Linked DNA regions of Macaca mulatta. The protein of the gene in region 1 purifies or fractionates together with the protein of each later gene. This does not show direct contact. Links are inferred from orthologs where the notes say so. Each region holds a gene or a part of one and is shown in the gene's direction. Other genes may lie near its edges.

Region 1 (5,048 bases):
TCCTGTCCCCACCACACCCCTGCTGGTCTCACGGTGGTCCGACTGCTTCCTGCTTCTGTGCCTTTGCTTAGTCTGGCACCCCTGCCTGGCATATCCTCCTCACCCCTTCTTCTCCCCACCCCCAACTCACCCCGTCTTTCAAATGGCAGGCTTAAATGCCAGCCCCTCCAGGTGGCCCAGGCTTCCTTCTCTGAGCTTCCATGGGCCTGGCCCTGGGTGCTACCTCTGAGTAGCACCATGGTGGGCACATAGTAGGTGCGCTTACTGTTTGCAGAATGAACATGGGACAGTTTGGGGACTGTCACCCAGCTCAGGGAGCACTGATGGGGAAGCATCTCCCGTATGTCCCAGGGCTCAGTGCTGTAGCGTCCTCACCCTCAGAAATCTCATAATGACTTAGCCAGGAAGGCATCGTACCCCACTTTGCAAGCAGGGGGCGCTGAGAATTGAGGGGCTTTGTCCAAGGTCTCATGGCTCAAGCAAGCAGAGTAGGATTTGAACCCAGGGCCATGTGACTTCAGAAGTGCCATTAAAGTCCCCATCATTTGGAGTTTTCTTTTTTTTTCTTTTTTTGAGACCGAGTCTCACTCCATCATCCAGGCAGGAGTGCAGTGGCCTGATCTCGGCTCACTGCAACCTCTGCCTCCTGGATTCAAGTGATTCTCTAGCCTCAGCCTCCCAAGTAGCTGGGACTACAGGCGCATGTCACCATGCCCGGCTAATTTTTGTATTTTTAGTAGAGACAGGTTTTCACCATGTTGGTCAGGCTGGTCTTGAACCCCTGACCTCAAGTGATCCACCTGCCTTGGCCTCTCAAAGTGCTGGGATTATAGGCTTGAGCCATTGCACCTGGCCTGGAGCTGTGTTTTGTCCATGAAGGATTTTCCACCCAGGAAGGGGTCAGATATGAAGTGTGTGGCCCTGGGCAGCTACTCTGAGCCCAGAGATCCCAGCCGTAGCCACCTTGCTGTGCCACAGTTTTCCCGCCTGCTAGGCAGCCCCATGTCAATTGCACTTAGTAGGCCGGGTTTGGTGCCTGACAAGACATGAGGTGGTGGAGGTGGGCAGGATCCCAGCGCTACCCTCTTCTTGAACCAGTGATCTCAACACATCGGATCTCTGTTTCCTCATCTGCAAAATGGGATCATTGAGCTCAGGGGGTCACAAATTCCACAGGAACTACTTTAGCCAAGCCCAGCCCCGTGAAAGGCCCGCTCGGTGGGCTGTTAGGGTGATTGTTTTCATCTGTGGGGCTGCCTGATGCGTCCCCACCCGCCGGCCTTGGAGAGGGTGGGATGGGAGGGTGGGGTGCTTGGGGAGACAAGCCTAGAGCCTGGGCCCTCCCACCCCACTGCCTCCCCCCATCCCAGGGCCCCCCACCCAGTGACAAAGCCCGTGGCACTTCCTCTACCCGGTTGGCAGGCGGCCTGGCCCAGCCCCTTCTCTAAGGAAGCGCATTTCCTGCCTCCCTGGGCCGGGCTGGATGAGCCGGGAGCTCCCTGCTGCCGGTCAGACCACAGCCTTCATCTGCGCCCTGGGGCCAGGACTGCTGCCGTCACTGCCATCCTCTGGAGCCCAGCACCCCTCCCCGCCCATCCTTCGGACAGCAACCCCAGCCCAGCCCCGCGTCCCTGTGTCCACTTCTCCTGACCCCTCGGCCGCCACCCCAGAAGGCTGGAGCAGGGACGCCGTCGCTCCGGCCGCCTGCTCCCCTCGGGTCCCCGCGCAAGCCCACGCCGGCCCCGGCGCCCACCCGCAGCCCTGCCTCTGGACACCGGATAAGGCCCAGCGCACAGGACCCCGCGTGGACGGCATGGACCGCGGCGCGCTCCCTCTGGCTGTTGCCCTGCTGCTGGCCGGCTGCAGCCTCAGCCCCACAAGTAGGTGTCCAGGGACCCGGGGTGGGGAGACTCGGCCTCTGGTGCACAGACCAGGCCCCAAGTATTCCCGGCCTCCTTCCTGTATCCTGAGCTCAGGCCCAGCGGAGTCATCCATGGGGCTTTGGAGGGTCACCGACCCTCCCAGTTTGCTGGAACTAAACGATTATACAGGACTTTCAGTGTTGGAAAGCCTCGGGCAAACTGGGCTGACTCTTTCACTTCAACCCTGGTCTCTGGCGTCTGCTCACCCAGCTGTGTTCCATTACTCCCCGGGAAGCCTAGGTCCTAGAATGCTGTGCAGCCACAGGAGAGTTTCCTGCCCTCTCTGGGCCTTGAGTTTCCCCGTGAGGAATGGATGGGAAGGAGGGCCCATAGCCTGGGTTCTGAGCACTGGCTCTGGGTTCAAATGTCACATAGGCACTTCCTTGTGGTGTGATCTTGGGGGACTGCCTTCGGGCCTCTGAGCAAAGCGGGAATGACAACAGACTTCCCTCAGCTGCCGAGAAGGTTGGTGGTGAGGGATCATTGCAGAGAGGGCTCTGACAGACTGGCCCCTTCTGTGTTGTTTTATTTTTAAGTTCCTCCAGCTCACCTTCCCCAGGGCCTTTGAGTAGCTCCTAGAACCGAACAGGCCAAGGCTGCAGGGCCCTGCTCTGCCTCCCTCCCACCTCCCTGATCTCCAGGAAGGGTGCGGGAGTGGGTGCCGGCCAAGTTAGGGATTCTGTGGGGGCTCCTCAGCCTGGGGGGCTCTTCCAAGGAGTCATGGCCTGTGCTGCTTTCTGAAACTGACAAGAGGAGGGGCCGTGAGGAGCCAGGGACCCCCAGCCCCACGTCCCACTCCCTATCCCTCGGCCACCTCAAGCCACTGGCCGGTCCTGTGGACAATCCTTTGACCCACCTGCGCATCCAGGGGCTTTCTGATGGATCTGGGGGAAGAGGGGCAGAAGGGGGCTGCGAGTGTGGGGAGGAAGGGGAAGGAAAACAGCGGTGGGGCAGCCACCGTCTCCCCCCGTCCCCACCTGACGGCATTTTAGAGTCCCTCATTCTAGGTCTCCAAAGCTCTGCCCACCACCTGACTGATAGGAAACTGAGTCTCAGACATATTAAGTGACTTAGCAGGGATTTGACTCCTAGCCTGAGGCTCCCTAAATGTTTGCTCCTAGCAAGGTGTGATAGGGCAAACCTTCTTAATGCGGCTCACAACGACCCTGCAAGATGGCTGCCGTCATCGTCCCCATTTTACAGAAGAGAAAATGGAGGCTCTAACCTGCCAAGTTCACACGGCTAAGACGAAGCCCCTACCTAAGCTCCAAGATCTCCCTCCCACGCATTGCTCGCTGCAGTAACACTCTCTTCCTCTTGGTCATTACAGAAAGGTGCATGCAGACATTTAGGGCCTGGTTTTTAAGGATCAAAGGCAGTGGTGTGCTGGTAAATAATTAACAACAGGGTGGGGGGCTCGGTCTGTAGCGTTTGTGGATTTCCACAGCGTTTAAGTACTCCCACCTGGCTGACTTCAAGCCACCAACTCACCAAGCTTGTGGATGGGAATCAGTGCCCAGTGCACCTGGCAGTTGGTTCTCCAGAGTCTCTGCAGGCGCAGATCACATCGAGAGCAGAGATGACAGGGGTGTAAAACGATTAGGAAGAAATGCGTTTGGACATTCGTGCTCTTTTAAAAATATATAGTAATAGCTATGTAACAGCCAGTTGGAGAAACTCCTGGAAATGTCTCAGTCTGCTTCTATGAACAGGTAGGAGCTGGTCCCAGTGCACCAGGGGTCACAGGCTCAAAGATACAACAGACCATCAACCCAACTCATTTATGGTCTGGGAAGCTGAGGCCCATGGAAGGCAGAGGGGAGCCTGGGACCAGGGCCTGGAACCCAGATCTCCATGCCGGGGCTGGGGGTAGGAGTGACCCCGACATCCTAGAAATGGGTCTAGAATTTGGGGCCACCACTTGGAAGAATATCCTAAAACTGTACCTTGCGTGTAACTTGTTACCCTCACAAATCAACCTTCAGAAGTCAGCCTTCTAGAGTTACTCGTCCAACTCTGTAAAGATGTGTGGTCCATGGGTACCTGTAACAAAAATCCAGTAACTGGAAATGATCTAAATGTCCATGAGCAGAGACTCTTAATAAATTACCATGGAATATCATGCAATAGGCACCAAGAAGACAGAGCTATATGAACACTGCCATGGATGGATGTCAGGGACACATTGTTAGGTGCCCAAACAACAATAATTCCATTTCGGCAACATTAAAATAGTAATAATGTACAATATGCAATAGAGAAAATTCTGGAATAGAATTTTCTATTTAACCCACTCTCACTGTTCTGTGGCCTGGGGTTTTCTCTATGGGACTTTCACTTTCTTTTTAACATTTTTTTGAGATGGAGTCTTGCTCTTGTCACCCAGGCTGCAGTGCAATGGCACAATCTAGGCTCACTGCAACCTCCGCCTCCCGGGTTCAAGCGATTCTCCTGCCTCATCCTCCTGAGTAACTGGGATTACAAGTGCCGGCCACCACACTCGGCTAATTTTTGTATTTTTAGTAGACAGGGGGTTTTGCCATGTTGGCCAGGCTGGTCTCGAACTCCTGACCTCGTGATCCACCCACCTCAGCCTCCCAAAGTGCTGGGATTACAGGTGTGAGCCACTGTGTCTGGCTGGGACTTTGACTTTCTAAGACACACTTTCCTGTCATGTTGGGGTTTTTTTTGTTTTCTTTTGTTTTGTTTTAAGAATAAGCAGTCCAGGTGCAGTGGCTCACGCCTGTAACCCCAGCACTTTGGGAAGCTGAGGAGGGTGGATCACCTGAGGTCAGGAGTTCAAGACCAGCCTGACCAACATGGCAAAACCCTGTCTCTACTTAAAATACAAAAATTAGCCAGGCGTGATGGTGGGTGCCCGTAATCCCAGCTACTTGAGAGGCTGAGGCAGGAGAATCGCTTAACCCTGGGAGGTGGAGGTTGCAGTGAGCTGAGATCAAGCCACTGCACTCCAGCCTGGATGATAGAGTGAGACTTTGTATCAAAAAAAAAAAAAAGAAAAGAAAAGAACAAACATGTAGAGATTTTTTTTAAGCAATTAAAATTAACCATATAGCTGCCTCAGCCTGCCCCTAAAAAAAAAAAAAAAAAAAAAAATAGAGAAAA
Region 2 (4,608 bases), about 39 Mb from region 1:
GACTTAAAAAGATGCCTGCTGATGAAAGGTTGCCCTTCCAGAAAATATCAGTAGGCATGTTAATTATAATTACAGTAGTAACTAACATTTATAGAGCACCTACTATGTGCCAATCGTCTGATAGGTCTTTTACTTGTATTACCTCATTTAATCCCTTCTCAAATACTGTGCTATAGCTAGCCCTGCTATTTTCATATTTCAGTTCCTGAAAATATGCCTTTCTTGCTTTCTTAGAACTTTTGCACATGCTGTCTCCTGGAGCGTATTTTACCTTACTGTTTCTCAGCCTCGTACCCACCTTTCCTGTAGGAAGTTTTTTCTAGTTCTCAAGATTCTTAGGAGTCCCTGCCAGGGGCTGTCATAGCACACTAAACTGGGACCGTTGAGGCACTTACGCATTATGTAGTAACTGTTTATTTATTTGCCTGTATATTCTATTAGGTGCAAGCTGCTTGAGAGCAGCCTTGTATTCCCAGCATCCATCACAGTGCCTAATACATGGTAGATCCTCAGTAGATATTTGTTGAGTCCATGGGTCTTCAAAAGAACTTAATTAGGTAGGTGTTGTTACCCTTAATTCACAGACGAGGAAACCACCTTGAGGAGGTTAAATAATATGGTCAGCTTCATGTGGATGATAAGCCAAAGAGCTGAGATTTGAACCTGGGCATTTCTGACCCAAAGCCCTTATCACTTGCTGTCACAGCATTTCTTCAAACTACTTCCTTGGCCTTGGAGAGAGCTGGAGAGCCAGCAGCATTAGTCTATTCAAATTTTATGTATAATTTTGAGATTTCTGGATTCCCTGGGGACTCTGCACTCTCAGCCAGCTAAGGAGTCCTTGACAGTGGTTGCTGCAGGTCTCTGTGGGTCTTGACCCATAATTTTCATAGGTTTTTGAAGCTTCAGTATGAGGACTGGCATTCTTCTGTGCCTATTATTTTTTCCCTTAGAGTATATTCCTGCCCTTCCTTTCATCCTCAGTGAGAAGACTTCTAGATTAAAATGCATGGTTTCTACCTAGTACATGTATAGGTGGTGTACATTGGGACACCTTTAACAGTCACAATAGTTGCATATGTCTTTCACTGGAAACCAAGATCATGAGGCAGATAGCGTGAAACTGCTATTTTAGCGTTTTGTGGGATTTAGTTGACATCATTAATGTGCAAACCAGTGTGGATATTTAATATTTTTCTTGAGTCTAATATTTGTTATGTAATATTTTGTGCATATGTCTGTGTACAGAGAAATGTCTGAAAGGATGTTCATCAAAATGTGGCAGTAAGGGGATGATTTTCAAAGTTATTTTTGCAAATTTTTTTTAGGTACATGGCCCCTGAAGTTCTTGATGATTCCATAAATATGAAACATTTTGAATCCTTCAAACGTGCTGACATCTATGCAATGGGCTTAGTATTCTGGGAAATTGCTCGACGATGTTCCATTGGTGGTAAATTGCTCCCCTCTCCCCCAACAGTTTGTCATGAGCAGAAGAAGTTGTTCGAGAATTGTCTTCTTTTTTTATTGAATGAAATTATGCACAATCCATTATCTGAAACAGGACATCACCGAGTGCCAGAGAAAACAAAGGCGATGAAACCTTTGGGAGGGGACAGTGCCATGGTGTGCACATGCACAGCTCTAGCCTAGTGTATTCTCTTCCTGTTTCCATTTGAATCTTGAGACTCATCAGAACCCAAACCCTTGTTATACTGGAATATAGTTCTTTAGAATGGACAGCTGCTTGAGAGGCTCACCTAGGAAGCTGTTTCTAGCATGTACCTAGGTGTCAAATTTATTTTTTTTCTTTGGCATATTTTCTCTTTGGCATATTTTCTCCAACTTGATAGTTATAGATTACGTACACAGAATACAATTATGTTACCATTGTGTTGTTTTCTAGAGTTAGTTTGTCTTAACTTCTAGCGTTTTAGATGGAGTACTTATAATGTTTACTCAGGAAACAGTCTCTTAGGCTTGGGGACCTAGGCTTGGCTGAGACCTTAGTGCCTTAGGTGTTTGAAGCAGTGAGGGACAGAGTATTTCTCTGTATTGTAGTAAATAGGATATATTATTGACAGATGCAAGTAGAGAAAGGGACTTGCACCTTAAACTTGCCTCATAGGATTTGTGTCTCACTGATAGGATCTATATATCCCTGTACAAGTGAGAGCCTGTGCACTTACAGAATAGAATCTCATTTGCTGCACAATAGGGTTCTAGGGGAAAATGTCAGTCTGGTGGTCACAGCTCACAGTTTACTGTCATTTCAAATAGGCTTTATTGATCTCTTGGCAATAGTTTCAAGGTGTGGGCAGAATATCAACTCAGGGAAGTGACTTGTTGATACAGATTTGGATGAGATAGAGAAAGCTGTAATCTCTGTTCCACCTACCTACTTTAGTAATAAGACACTGTAATAGGCCTCTCAGGTGACCTTTTTAATGCCTTGGCATTCGCTGAATACATTTATCAAAATTATTTTTTTTTAAACTGATACAGGAATTCATGAAGATTACCAGCTGCCTTATTATGATCTTGTACCTTCTGACCCATCAGTGGAAGAAATGAGAAAAGTTGTTTGTGAACAGAAGTTAAGGCCAAATATCCCAAACAGATGGCAGAGCTGCGAAGTGAGTATTTCTTTTTGATATTAGGCAATTTTCTAAACTTCTGCTTAGTAAGCAAAAGTTTGCTGCTTTTCTTTAAGGAAAACTTTTCTTTAAGAAGTTTCTTTTTCATAGCAGTCAAACCAATGTGTAAAAACAGAATAATTTGGTTTTCATATTCAGTTGTAAGCACATTGAAAGGGCCGTGGAACATTTGCAGTGGCCTTTAGTGTATCAGAACATAGTTTAGGTCTGTCAGGCGAACTAAAGCACATACTTTTTAAGTGAATGCCTCCCTTCAGCCAGGGCAACCCAGAATAATAGACAGTTGCTGGACAGGAATGAGGAGACCTGTATTCTAGACCAGCCTGACTACCATTTCAAGGGTCTGACTTGGAACAAATCACTTTAGTTCTCTGAACCTTAATATCCCTTTGTAAGGTGAGGAACTCAGATAAGGTGATTACAAAGTTGTTTCAAGTGATTTTCCATTTTATTCATCTGATTGCCCAGATGACCATTAACCAGGAATTTAGGGAAAATGCTTTTTTTCCAGCAGTGTCTGAGCTTCTCAACCTCAGCTCTAACAAAAAGTTTTAGAAATGTTTTTGTAATTGTAAATTTAAAGATTCGTAAGATGAATTTTATTTAACCTCTCCTTAGTTGCTAGCTGTTACTATTATAGTATTGGTGAAGCAGGGCATATTCCTCCGGGTTTGAAGGTTTGTAGCTTAAAAAGGCTATAAAAAGCTGTTCAGTTCAGTAGTTGGTTTTACATCTTAAACTATTATAGGACTCATCAGAACCTCTGATAACCAAGAGAGCTTGCTACCTCCAACAAAATCACATCTACAGGCCCAAATAAAATGTATTTCAGCATGCTTAAGGAATTTGCATGTGACATACTTTAACAAATGAGAGTGCTGCTAGATTTTGTCTTTTAGAAATTTGATCTACTCCGGAGGCTGAGGTGGGAGGATTGTTGGAGCCTGGGAGGTCGAGGCTGTAGTGAGCTGAGGGCATGCCATTGCATTCCACTTTGGGCCGCAGAGTGAGACCCTGTGTCAAAAAAAAAAAAAAAAGAAAAATTTGATCTGGATACTTCAAAGTACAAACTTAAAATTTCAGTGTGAGGTCAGATTTCTTCTTTGCTTTGCCCAGCTCTGGTTTAGGATTCGACCTCTTCAGGTTTGCTAAGTGAGTTACTCTTTGTCTACCTGCTTTCCAGCACTGACACCAGTACCCTATTGATGGAAATTTGTGAAATTTCTACTCATTTGCTATTACAAACAATGCTTAACAACAACAACAAAGTGTATATGTCATTTAAAAAGAAAATTTACAGGTAAAAATTCTTATCCAGACCAATGGAAAATGGTGCATGCATTAATTTTTTTTTTTAATTATATTTTCTTGTAGGCCTTGAGAGTAATGGCTAAAATTATGAGAGAATGTTGGTATGCCAACGGAGCAGCTAGGCTTACAGCATTGCGGATTAAGAAAACATTATCACAACTCAGTCAACAGGAAGGCATCAAAATGTAATTCTACGACTTTGCCTGAACTCTACTTTTTTCTTCAGATCTGCTCCTGGGTTTTAATTTGGGAGGTCAATTGTTCTACCTCACTGAGAGGGAACAGAAGGATGTTGCTTCCTTTTGCAGCAGTGTAATAAAGTCAATTAAAAACTTCCCAGGATTTCTTCGGACCCAGGAAACAGCCGTGTGGGTCCTTTCTGTGCACTATGAACGCTTCTTTCCCAGGACAGTTACAAAATGTTGTGTAGTCTACCTTTATTTTTTATTAACAAAACTTGTTTTTTAAAAAGATGATTGCTGGTCTTAACTTTAGGTAACTCTGCTGTGCTGGAGATCATCTTTAAGGGCAAAGGAGTTGGATTGCTGAGTTATAATGAAACATTTCTTATTATTAAAGAAAGTGATTTGCTCCTGGTTAGTACATTCTCAGAGGATTCTGAACCACTAGTGTTTCCTTG
Region 3 (4,608 bases), on another chromosome or scaffold:
TAGAGGTGGAGTTTCAGGGAGGGAACATTGTGGAAGTGGTAAGTCTAAGTGGAAATGCCGACTGCTGGATCGGCTGTTGTGGTTGAACATTAGTTCGTCTGCCCCCTTAATTTTGTTCTCCAGGTTTATACTTTGCTGGACAACAGGGACAGTCCATACATCTCCACAAGAGCATCTTTTTTTCTTTTGCATTTGAATCGTTCTGGAATTGCTTTGTCCCACCCCATTTCTGCCCTACTCTTGCCTGTTCTTTATCCCAACCCAAGCCTCCCAGTGTGAGTAAGAATTTATGTTTTTAAGGGTCAGTCACCAAATTTTCTCACTTTCCCTATATTTTTTAAATGCATTCATGTATCTTTCCAAAAAATGTTAATTTTTTTTCTCTTGGTTTCTGGAATTCTGATATATTGGGGTTACTTCTCTGGTTACTAGACCCAAGATTTTCATTTAGAATATACAGTCAGTGGAAGTTGGCATTTCTACTTAGACTTACCTTAAGAACAAATAATCATATTAAACCTTAAAAATTGATATATACTAGCTTCATTTCTCACTGTGTTTTGTTAAATGAAAGTATCAGATTCTGGGCCAGGTGTAGTGGCTCACGCCTGTAATCCCAGCACTTTGGGAGGCCAAGGCAGGCAGATCATGAGGTCAGGAGTTCGAGACCAGCCTGGCCAACATGGTGAAACCCCGTCTCTACTAAAAATACAAAAAAAAAAAAAAAAAAAAAATTAGCTGGGCGTAATGGTGCACGTCTGTAATCCCAGCGACTTGGGAGGCTGAGGCAGGAGGTGAGGTTGCAGTGAGCAGAGATCGCACCATTGCACTCCAGCCTGGGTGACAGAGCAAGACTCCATCTTCAGGAAAAAAAAAAAAAAAAACACGAAAGTATCAGATGCTGTATATAACCTGGCGTTCATCATCGTGAGCCAGGAAAATTTAGGACATGAACACACACGAGTTTAGGAGAGGAGTTTAATAAGCAGAAGAGAAGAGAAGGAGAAACAACTCTCTATAGAGAAAGAGGTCTCCAAGCAGAAACGACGGGCTGGCGGTGAATGTGCTGGATTTTATAGTCCGGTTTGAGGAGGCGGTGTCTGATTTACATAGGGCTCACAGATTGGTTCATTCAGGTATGACGTTTACATAGTGCATGGGGAGGACTGGTCACCCCACCCTAATCTTATGCAAATGGACTTTCCAGTTGATCAGCACCATCTTGTCTGCTCTTTACTGTACACATGGCTGACAGAGAAGGGAAGATGGAGCCACCGTCTTGAACATCTCCTTACTTCCTGCCGGCATTCACCCGTGCAAGCTCCCAGCTTGCCTGTGTCTGAAGCTCGACTTTACAGGCTGCTGTTTGTTAGCAAATGATTTGGGGCTGCTTTTCATTAAAACGAAAAGCCTTACCTTGGACTCCCATACCCTTACTATCTGCCCAAGTAATTTCTTCTTAACTCCTTTATCAATACCATTTAGGTAATAGGTTCCCCTCGAGAGAATTTGGTTGTATCCTCATTCCACCTAGACTATATTCTCATCACTTCTTTTTTTTTTCTCTTCAAACACCTACTGTAGGTGAAAACGGACAATTGAATAATCAAAAGATCCTTCTCTGACATGGAGTTTGTTTCCCTACCACCTACCCGTTTTTTCCTTTCTATTCCCCAGGTGCAGGGTGGTCAGTATGGGAGAATTGCTCTTCCTTAGATAGATCATATATTCTTTCTCCTGAACAGAGCACTCTTTCCACTCATCACTGACTTTTCCCATTCTTCAGAGACCAACTTAAAGGCAATTTTTTGCTACTGTGCCTTCCATGTTTCTCTAAACTCTTCCACATTCCACTAACATATAGATTGCATTGTACATTTAGCCCCTATCCCAGATGCCATATATTCCTTATTTGTATATATGCCCTAAGTCCTCTATTGGGTACTCTGAGGGCAGTGCCATGCCCAACGTAGACACTCAGTAGTGATATATTTAACGAATGATTCTAGGATCTGAGCATGATTAATGGGTACTTTGGAGGGCGGATAGATGACACATAAAGCAGTAGAATTCTGGCATGTTTGCCCAATGAAAACAGCCCAGCACAAGCTCCCATTGAACTAGAGCTGCCTTTTGCTGTCTCCTGTCCACTGTCTGTTTCTATTCATGTCCTTCTTCCAAAGAGGAAAACTGTTTCACCAGAGCCAACAAGGCCAGCATATGAACCAAAGTTTGAAGCACAAGATATTATAGTTAGATATCTGGTGCTAAGGACTCTATTCATCAGCTCACAGGGGCCTGCTCCGGAATTCCAAGTCATAAAACTGCAACGTTTCCATTGTTAACTGATCTTACCTTTGTGGCAATGTTTCCATCGTTGCTATTAAATATTTCAGTTCCATGAAACTACAATTTACATGCACACTGAAAAGAGAAATGGTGGGTGGTGTAAGATACCTGTCCAAAGAGATCCTTTCCACGGACTCCTCTCCCTGTCACCCATAGGCCTAGGGTAGCCTGAATGCTGATCAGGGCAGAACACGTTGGAGCTTGAAAAAGAGCAAAGATTTTGGTGGAAACCGTGGCATGCTCTGTGTTTTTACCAGATATCATACATGCAAATTTTTTGAAGGCAGAAGCTGTGTCATTTTTTTCCACGTTCCCAATGTTCTGAGCTTCGATAACACTCAATAAATGCTTTGTCTTTTTATTTGGCAGTATTGAGGATCTGCCGTGTGCTACGTGCAGTTTACTGTAGTGAAGAAGACATGGTCCCTGCCAGCATGGAGTTCCCTGTCTGTGGGGGATGGGGAAAGTGGGGAAAGACAGACGTGAAATCAAGAGGTGGAGTCATAGGTCATTTAATTTAAGTTGCACTGAATTGTTACCTAGGAAAGGTATAAGATGCAATGAAAATGTATAAAATAAGACAATTTTCCAAGTTTTTCTAGGTCTCTCTTAAGGAGTGACATTTAAGCTGAAATTTGAAGGAAGAGTAGGAGATGTCAAATAGATGGCCAGAGGCAGGGAAGACTGAACAAGTGTGCACTGGCATCCCTGAAATAAAAATTAACAATGTAGTATCTACAAAAACTATACAGACGCTAAAATCTATAGATGTTCGGGCATGAACCCGCTTCCTGACAGTACATACCTACCACATCCAACTCCTTCTCTCCTTGTTTTGTTTCCCCATCAGAATACAACACCAGCAATCCTGACTTGTTGCTAGTCATATTTCAAGTGACAGGCATCAGCCTCCTGCCACCACTGGGAGTTGCCATATCTGTCATCATCATCTTCTACTGCTACCGCGTTAACCGGCAGCAGAAGCTGAGCTCATCCTGGGAAGCTGGCAAGCCACGGAAGCTCATGGACTTCAGCGAGCACTGTGCCATCATCCTGGAAGACGACCGCTCCGACATCAGCTCCACATGCGCCAACAACATCAACCACAACACAGAGCTGCTGCCCATTGAACTGGACACCCTGGTGGGGAAAGGTCGCTTTGCTGAGGTCTATAAGGCCAAGCTGAAGCAGAACACTTCAGAGCAGTTTGAGACAGTGGCAGTCAAGATCTTTCCCTATGAGGAGTATGCCTCTTGGAAGACGGAGAAGGACATCTTCTCAGACATCAACCTGAAGCATGAGAACATACTCCAGTTCCTGACAGCTGAGGAGCGCAAGACGGAGTTGGGGAAACAGTACTGGCTGATCACTGCCTTCCATGCCAAGGGCAACCTACAGGAGTACCTGACGCGGCATGTCATCAGCTGGGAGGACCTGCGCAAACTGGGGAGCTCCCTCGCCCGGGGCATTGCCCACCTCCACAGTGATCACACTCCGTGCGGGAGGCCCAAGATGCCCATCGTCCACAGGGACCTCAAGAGCTCCAATATCCTCGTGAAGAACGACCTGACCTGCTGTCTCTGTGACTTTGGGCTTTCCCTGCGTCTGGACCCTACTCTGTCTGTGGATGACCTGGCTAACAGCGGGCAGGTAAGTTAGAGATAGTGCTAGATTCCCTTTACCTTGAGCCTGGCCTCACCCTACCTCTTGATCTGTATCTCCTGGCTCTTATCTCAAACAGCCCTATACTCTGGACGCTGGTTTAGAGAATCTAGCCAAAGTACCGAGTCTGCCTTGAGCATGCTCTGCTCTCTCCTGCCTGAGCATTTTTGCTAATGGACAGCATTTCTCCTCCTGTCTTCAAATCCCTCCCAATTCAGCACATTTTTTCCTCCTGGATCAATTCTCATTTCTCTTCCAGCAAATGCTTTTTCCTTTTTTCAAGCACTGTCAGTACTTTACCTCTATTTTTTCCCTCTCTTATGGTTGTACTCAGTCCTTTCTACTCTATATTAGCTGTAGTTGTGTTGGTTTCTTTGTATGATTCTTTGTATTAATAGGGTCGTGGAAGGCCTATTAATAATGTCATGGATCTCCCTGAAGTCCAAATCTACATCCACATGGTCACCCAAGATACCTAGCACAATGCCTCGAACATTGAAAGTAAAATAAGTACTTGTCAACTGAGTGAGCGCTTCCGCTCTTGAAGCACTCTCACAGATTAAAATGGAAATGTTTTTGGCTAAGAAACTATCGGAA
Region 4 (4,608 bases), on another chromosome or scaffold:
TGGCAGGCCAAGCCTGGGAGCGCTCTCAGGACTGGGGCTGGGGGCGCAGCCCAGCCTAGAACTGGGAGGGGAGAACCTAGGAGCCAGGAGGGGACAGAAGCCTGCTTCTCAGTGTCAGCTGCCCTGAGGGGAGGGCTCTGAGGGAAGGATGACTGAGGATGGAAGTAAGGGACCAAAGCTTCAAGGTGTTTGTCTGGGGGTCAGACGAGAGGGACAATGGGACAGAAATGGGTGTCAGGCTCAGCCTGGGGGAGCTGGGCCCAGAGTGGCTGAGCTTCCGGTGTGTCTCCCAGGTGACCCCGTGAAGCCCTCTCGGGGCCCGCTGGTGACCTGCACATGTGAGAGCCCACATTGCAGGGGGCCTACCTGCCAGGGGGCCTGGTGCACAGTAGTGCTGGTGCGGGAGGAGGGGAGGCACCCCCAGGAACATCGGGGCTGCGGGAACTTGCACAGGGAGCTCTGCAGGGGGCGCCCCACCGAGTTCGTCAACCACTACTGCTGTGACAGCCACCTCTGCAACCGCAACGTGTCCCTGGTGCTGGAGGGTACGTCCAGCTGCCCCAGCACTCCCTCCCCATCTTCTCAGCCCCTGCCCTCCCTTCCCTCCTTTCCTCTCATGCTCTGGCCAATAAAGGGGCTGGGGGCGGGGGGGCGGGCAAGACTCTGGGATTTAACTGGCAGAATGGTCTGCCCAAGATGGGGGAAGTTGACCTAGTGCAAGCTGAGCCTCAATGTCCCCTCCCCCAGCCACCCAAACTCCTTCGGAGCAGCCGGGAACAGACAGCCAGCTGGCCCTGATCCTGGGCCCCGTGCTGGCCTTGCTGGCCCTGGTGGCCCTGGGTGTCGTGGGCCTGTGGCATGTCCGACGGAGGCAGGAGAAGCAGCGGGGCCTGCACAGCGAGCTGGGAGAGTCCAGTCTCATCCTGAAAGCATCTGAGCAGGGCGACAGCATGTTGGGGGTATGGGCCTGGGGACCTGGGACACAGGGTGGAGTGGGGCAGATAGCAACTGCGGAATCAGAGGGGTCATCCAGAGAGTAGAGCCGGTGGGGAGCTGGGCGAGTGAGGAGCTTGCAGTGACCCAGCAGGTCCCAGGTTGAGGATGGAGAATGGGGCTGCGGCTGGTTAGGGCAGCTTTTGAGTGGACTCTCCATACCCCCAGGACCTCCTGGACAGTGACTGCACCACAGGGAGTGGCTCGGGGCTCCCCTTCCTGGTGCAGAGGACAGTGGCACGGCAGGTTGCCTTGGTGGAGTGTGTGGGTGAGCAGTGGGTGAGCCCGGTGGATGAGGACCAAGGGCTCTCATGAGCCTTGAGGGGTGAGGGAGTTCTTGGCTTCCGGAATCACAGGCAGTGCCAGGCCTGGGTCAGAACTGGAATTCTGCTGGGCAGGGAGTGGGCTGGAGACGGGCCAGGGCTAGGTTCTTTCTGCAGGACCGGGGTGGAACGAGAGGCAGCTGGGGGTGGCCTGCCGCTGGGTTTGGGTCTGGATTAACTTAAACCTAAGGGTCAGGGGTTCTGTGGGTGGGGTGGGCGAGGGAGGCAGCACAGCATCAAGATAAGGGGCTCCTCCAGGGCTCTGTGTGCCCAGTGTGTAACCCTCACCTTCCCCTCTGGCCATCAGGAAAAGGCCGCTATGGCGAAGTGTGGCGGGGCTTGTGGCACGGTGAGAGTGTGGCCGTCAAGATCTTCTCCTCGAGGGACGAACAGTCCTGGTTCCGGGAGACTGAGATCTACAACACAGTGTTGCTCAGACACGACAACATCCTAGGCAAGGGGAGGGGCCGGCTGTGCCAGGCCTGGGGCTTTGCCCTCCTGCACTCAGGGCTCGAATTCACAGACCTCCAGACATTAACAGAACCCTGAAGGACTCCCAGCCCACCTGCAACACCAACCTCTTTTTTTTTTTTTTTTTTTTTTGAGACAGGGCCTCGCTCTGTCACCCAGGCTGGGATGCAGTTGTGCAATCTCACTGGAACCTCAATCTCTTGAGCTCAAGCGATCCTCCCACTTCAGCCTCTTGAGTAGCTGGGACCACAGGCATGTGCCACCATGCCCAGCTAACTTTTTTATTTTTTGTAGAGACGAGGTCTCCCTATGTTGCCCAGACTGGTCTCAAATTCCTGGGCTCAAGCGATCCTCCTGCCTTGGCCTCCCAAAGTGTTGGGATTACAGGTGCAAGCCACTAAGCCAGGCCCAGACCCAACCTCTGACTCCAGCTCTGTCTCTGACCTAAGCCACATCAACCCCCACCCCAGACCTTGCTTAGCAGTGACCCAGCCCATTCCCTCTCCCCCGACCCCACCCTGACCCTGACCACTCCAGCCTCCCTTAGCCCCAGCCCCTTGGCTGAGTCACCCGACCCTTCTGTGCACAGGCTTCATCGCCTCAGACATGACCTCCCGCAACTCGAGCACGCAGCTGTGGCTCATCACGCATTACCACGAGCACGGCTCCCTCTACGACTTTCTGCAGAGACAGACGCTGGAGCCGCATTTGGCTCTGAGGCTAGCTGTGTCCGCAGCCTGTGGCCTGGCACACCTGCACGTGGAGATCTTCGGTACACAGGGCAAACCGGCCATTGCCCACCGTGACTTCAAGAGCCGCAACGTGCTGGTCAAGAGCAACCTGCAGTGTTGCATTGCTGACCTGGGTGAGCTGGGCAGGGCAGGGGCAGACCCTTCACAGGTGGGCACAGCTCGTGCTCTCTCCTCTCCTTTGCCTATGGGCGGTGACCATGATGGGCGCTTGAAAACAGAGGTGCATGTTGTCTCAGTTCTCCTCTGCAAGACCGCATGAGTTGTCTGAACACCCTTTTCAAACCAGACTCCTTCCACCATACCATCCTGGCTCCAGGAGTTGGGAGAAAGGAGGCAGGAGCCAGAAACCTGGATTCTCATTCCTGGCTTCGCTAACTATATCCCTCCCCGGCACCAGCCTCCGGCTCTGCTCCATGAAGTGGGCATCATAATGCCTGCCTTGCCCACTCACATCTCGCTGGGTTCTTGAGAACCTAAAGAGCACTACATAAGCAAAGAGTACCTGGGGCGGTGGTTCTCTCTGTGGTCACTGTCTTCCAGCCCATCTCCATGCAGGTCTCCATCTGCCTCCCCCTCTCTGTCCCACTGCTTCTCTCAGTCCCCACCTTGCCTGCCCCCTGGACCCCAGGTCAGGGAGAGGGACAGGAGTGACAGGCCTCACCCCCACAGGCCTGGCTGTGATGCACTCACAGGGCAGCGATTACCTGGACATCGGCAACAACCCGAGAGTAGGCACCAAGAGGTACATGGCACCCGAGGTGCTGGATGAGCAGATCCGCACGGACTGCTTTGAGTCCTATAAGTGGACTGACATCTGGGCCTTTGGCCTGGTGCTGTGGGAGATCGCCCGCCGGACCATCGTGAACGGTGAGTGTCCACCCTACACAGGGTAGGGAAAGGGCAATTGGCCCGTGGAGCCAGGGGCTTCCTGCCATGGCCAGTGCCCATGGCCTGGGAGGTTTGCAGCCAGACCTCCTGGCACCCTTTCCATGCAGCCCACCAGCTGATTCAGCTGAGTGACCTTTTAAGGTATAAACCTTAAAAACAGATAACGGGGTCTGTGAGTCTGGCTGTGAAATCTTGTACGTGATAATAACAGAAATATTAATAGCAGCTAACATTGATTGAGCTTAAATATGTGCCAGATGCCATGCTATATACTTTACATGTATTATCTTATTTGATTCTTTGATATGGGCAAGGCAGTGGTATTGCTTAGTGGCTAAGACCATAGGCTTGGAATCAGACTTCCTGGGTTCTATTGCTGATTTTGCCATGACCATGGGTAGGTTATTTGGCCTCTCTGTGCCTCAGTTTCCTCATTTGTAAAATGGGGGCGGTGGCTTATGCCTGTAATCCCAGCACTTTGGGAGGCCGAGGCGGGCAGATCACCTGAGGTCAGGAATTCGAGACCAGCCTGGCCAACATGGCGAAACCCTGTCTCTACTAAAAATACAAAAATTAGCCAGCTCTGGTGGCACACGCCTGTAATCCCAGCTACTCGGGAGGCTGAGGCAGGAGAATTGCTTGAACCTGGGAGGCAGAGGTTGCAGTGAGCCGAGATCGCACCACTGCACTCCAGTCTGGGTGACAGAGTGAGACCCTCTCTCAAAAAAAAAAAATTAATAAATAAAGAAAGAAAGAATAAAAATAGCTTCCAGTTGTTGAGATAATCTAAGTATTTAGAACAATATCTAGAGCTAAATATTAGTGGCCGTTATTGCTGTAGATAGAATGAGTGCCTGACCTCATATTGTCCCCATTGTACAGTTGAGGAGATGGGGGCACAGAATGACAGCGGGCTTGAGGCAGCATCAGGGTCTGAAACCGGCCAGTCTGCTCCAGGGCCAGTGCTCATCATCACTGTGTGCACTTAAACCTCTCTGGCCTTTGATTTCTTCATGCACACAATGCATGTGAGTGCCTGCACTGCCTGCTTATTGCTGCCTCGTTGTTACTGTGGGTTGCCACAGGGGACTCTGATTTAGAGGGACTGCGGCAGGTAGAGGGACCTGCCCCGGGCAGCCCTGTGGTTGATGCTCTCTCAACCCTGGGGTGGATGGAGGATG

The links. Proteins that work in one complex are often made in the same cells at the same time.
Region 2: the proteins of ENG (region 1) and TGFBR1 purify together in Homo sapiens (affinity purification with western blotting; 5 studies listed by BioGRID and IntAct, with this or other methods). This does not show direct contact. The link is inferred for Macaca mulatta from reciprocal best matches to the Homo sapiens genes ENG and TGFBR1.
Region 3: the proteins of ENG (region 1) and TGFBR2 purify together in Homo sapiens (affinity purification with western blotting; 3 studies listed by BioGRID). This does not show direct contact. The link is inferred for Macaca mulatta from reciprocal best matches to the Homo sapiens genes ENG and TGFBR2.
Region 4: the proteins of ENG (region 1) and ACVRL1 purify together in Homo sapiens (affinity purification with western blotting; 3 studies listed by BioGRID and IntAct, with this or other methods). This does not show direct contact. The link is inferred for Macaca mulatta from reciprocal best matches to the Homo sapiens genes ENG and ACVRL1.

What each region holds. Positions count from the first base shown.
Region 1 is NC_133420.1:19,845,682-19,850,729, forward strand, and holds the start of ENG (endoglin), read left to right. Parts: upstream 1-1,511; 5' UTR 1,512-1,813; coding exon 1,814-1,880; coding exon of another isoform or gene 1,881-1,961; intron 1,962-5,048. UniProt on the Homo sapiens protein: Vascular endothelium glycoprotein that plays an important role in the regulation of angiogenesis. Required for normal structure and integrity of adult vasculature. Regulates the migration of vascular endothelial cells.
Region 2 is NC_133420.1:59,257,909-59,262,516, reverse strand, and holds part of TGFBR1 (TGF-beta receptor type-1), read left to right. Parts: intron 1-1,328; coding exon 1,329-1,453; intron 1,454-2,505; coding exon 2,506-2,636; intron 2,637-4,031; coding exon 4,032-4,157; 3' UTR 4,158-4,608. UniProt on the Homo sapiens protein: Transmembrane serine/threonine kinase forming with the TGF-beta type II serine/threonine kinase receptor, TGFBR2, the non-promiscuous receptor for the TGF-beta cytokines TGFB1, TGFB2 and TGFB3.
Region 3 is NC_133407.1:17,876,198-17,880,805, reverse strand, and holds part of TGFBR2 (TGF-beta receptor type-2 precursor), read left to right. Parts: intron 1-3,199; coding exon 3,200-3,999; intron 4,000-4,608. UniProt on the Homo sapiens protein: Transmembrane serine/threonine kinase forming with the TGF-beta type I serine/threonine kinase receptor, TGFBR1, the non-promiscuous receptor for the TGF-beta cytokines TGFB1, TGFB2 and TGFB3.
Region 4 is NC_133416.1:59,095,563-59,100,170, forward strand, and holds part of ACVRL1 (activin receptor type-1-like), read left to right. Parts: intron 1-293; coding exon 294-545; intron 546-747; coding exon 748-959; intron 960-1,161; coding exon 1,162-1,261; intron 1,262-1,623; coding exon 1,624-1,770; intron 1,771-2,376; coding exon 2,377-2,652; intron 2,653-3,208; coding exon 3,209-3,406; coding exon of another isoform or gene 3,407-3,428; intron 3,429-4,608. UniProt on the Homo sapiens protein: Type I receptor for TGF-beta family ligands BMP9/GDF2 and BMP10 and important regulator of normal blood vessel development. On ligand binding, forms a receptor complex consisting of two type II and two type I transmembrane serine/threonine kinases.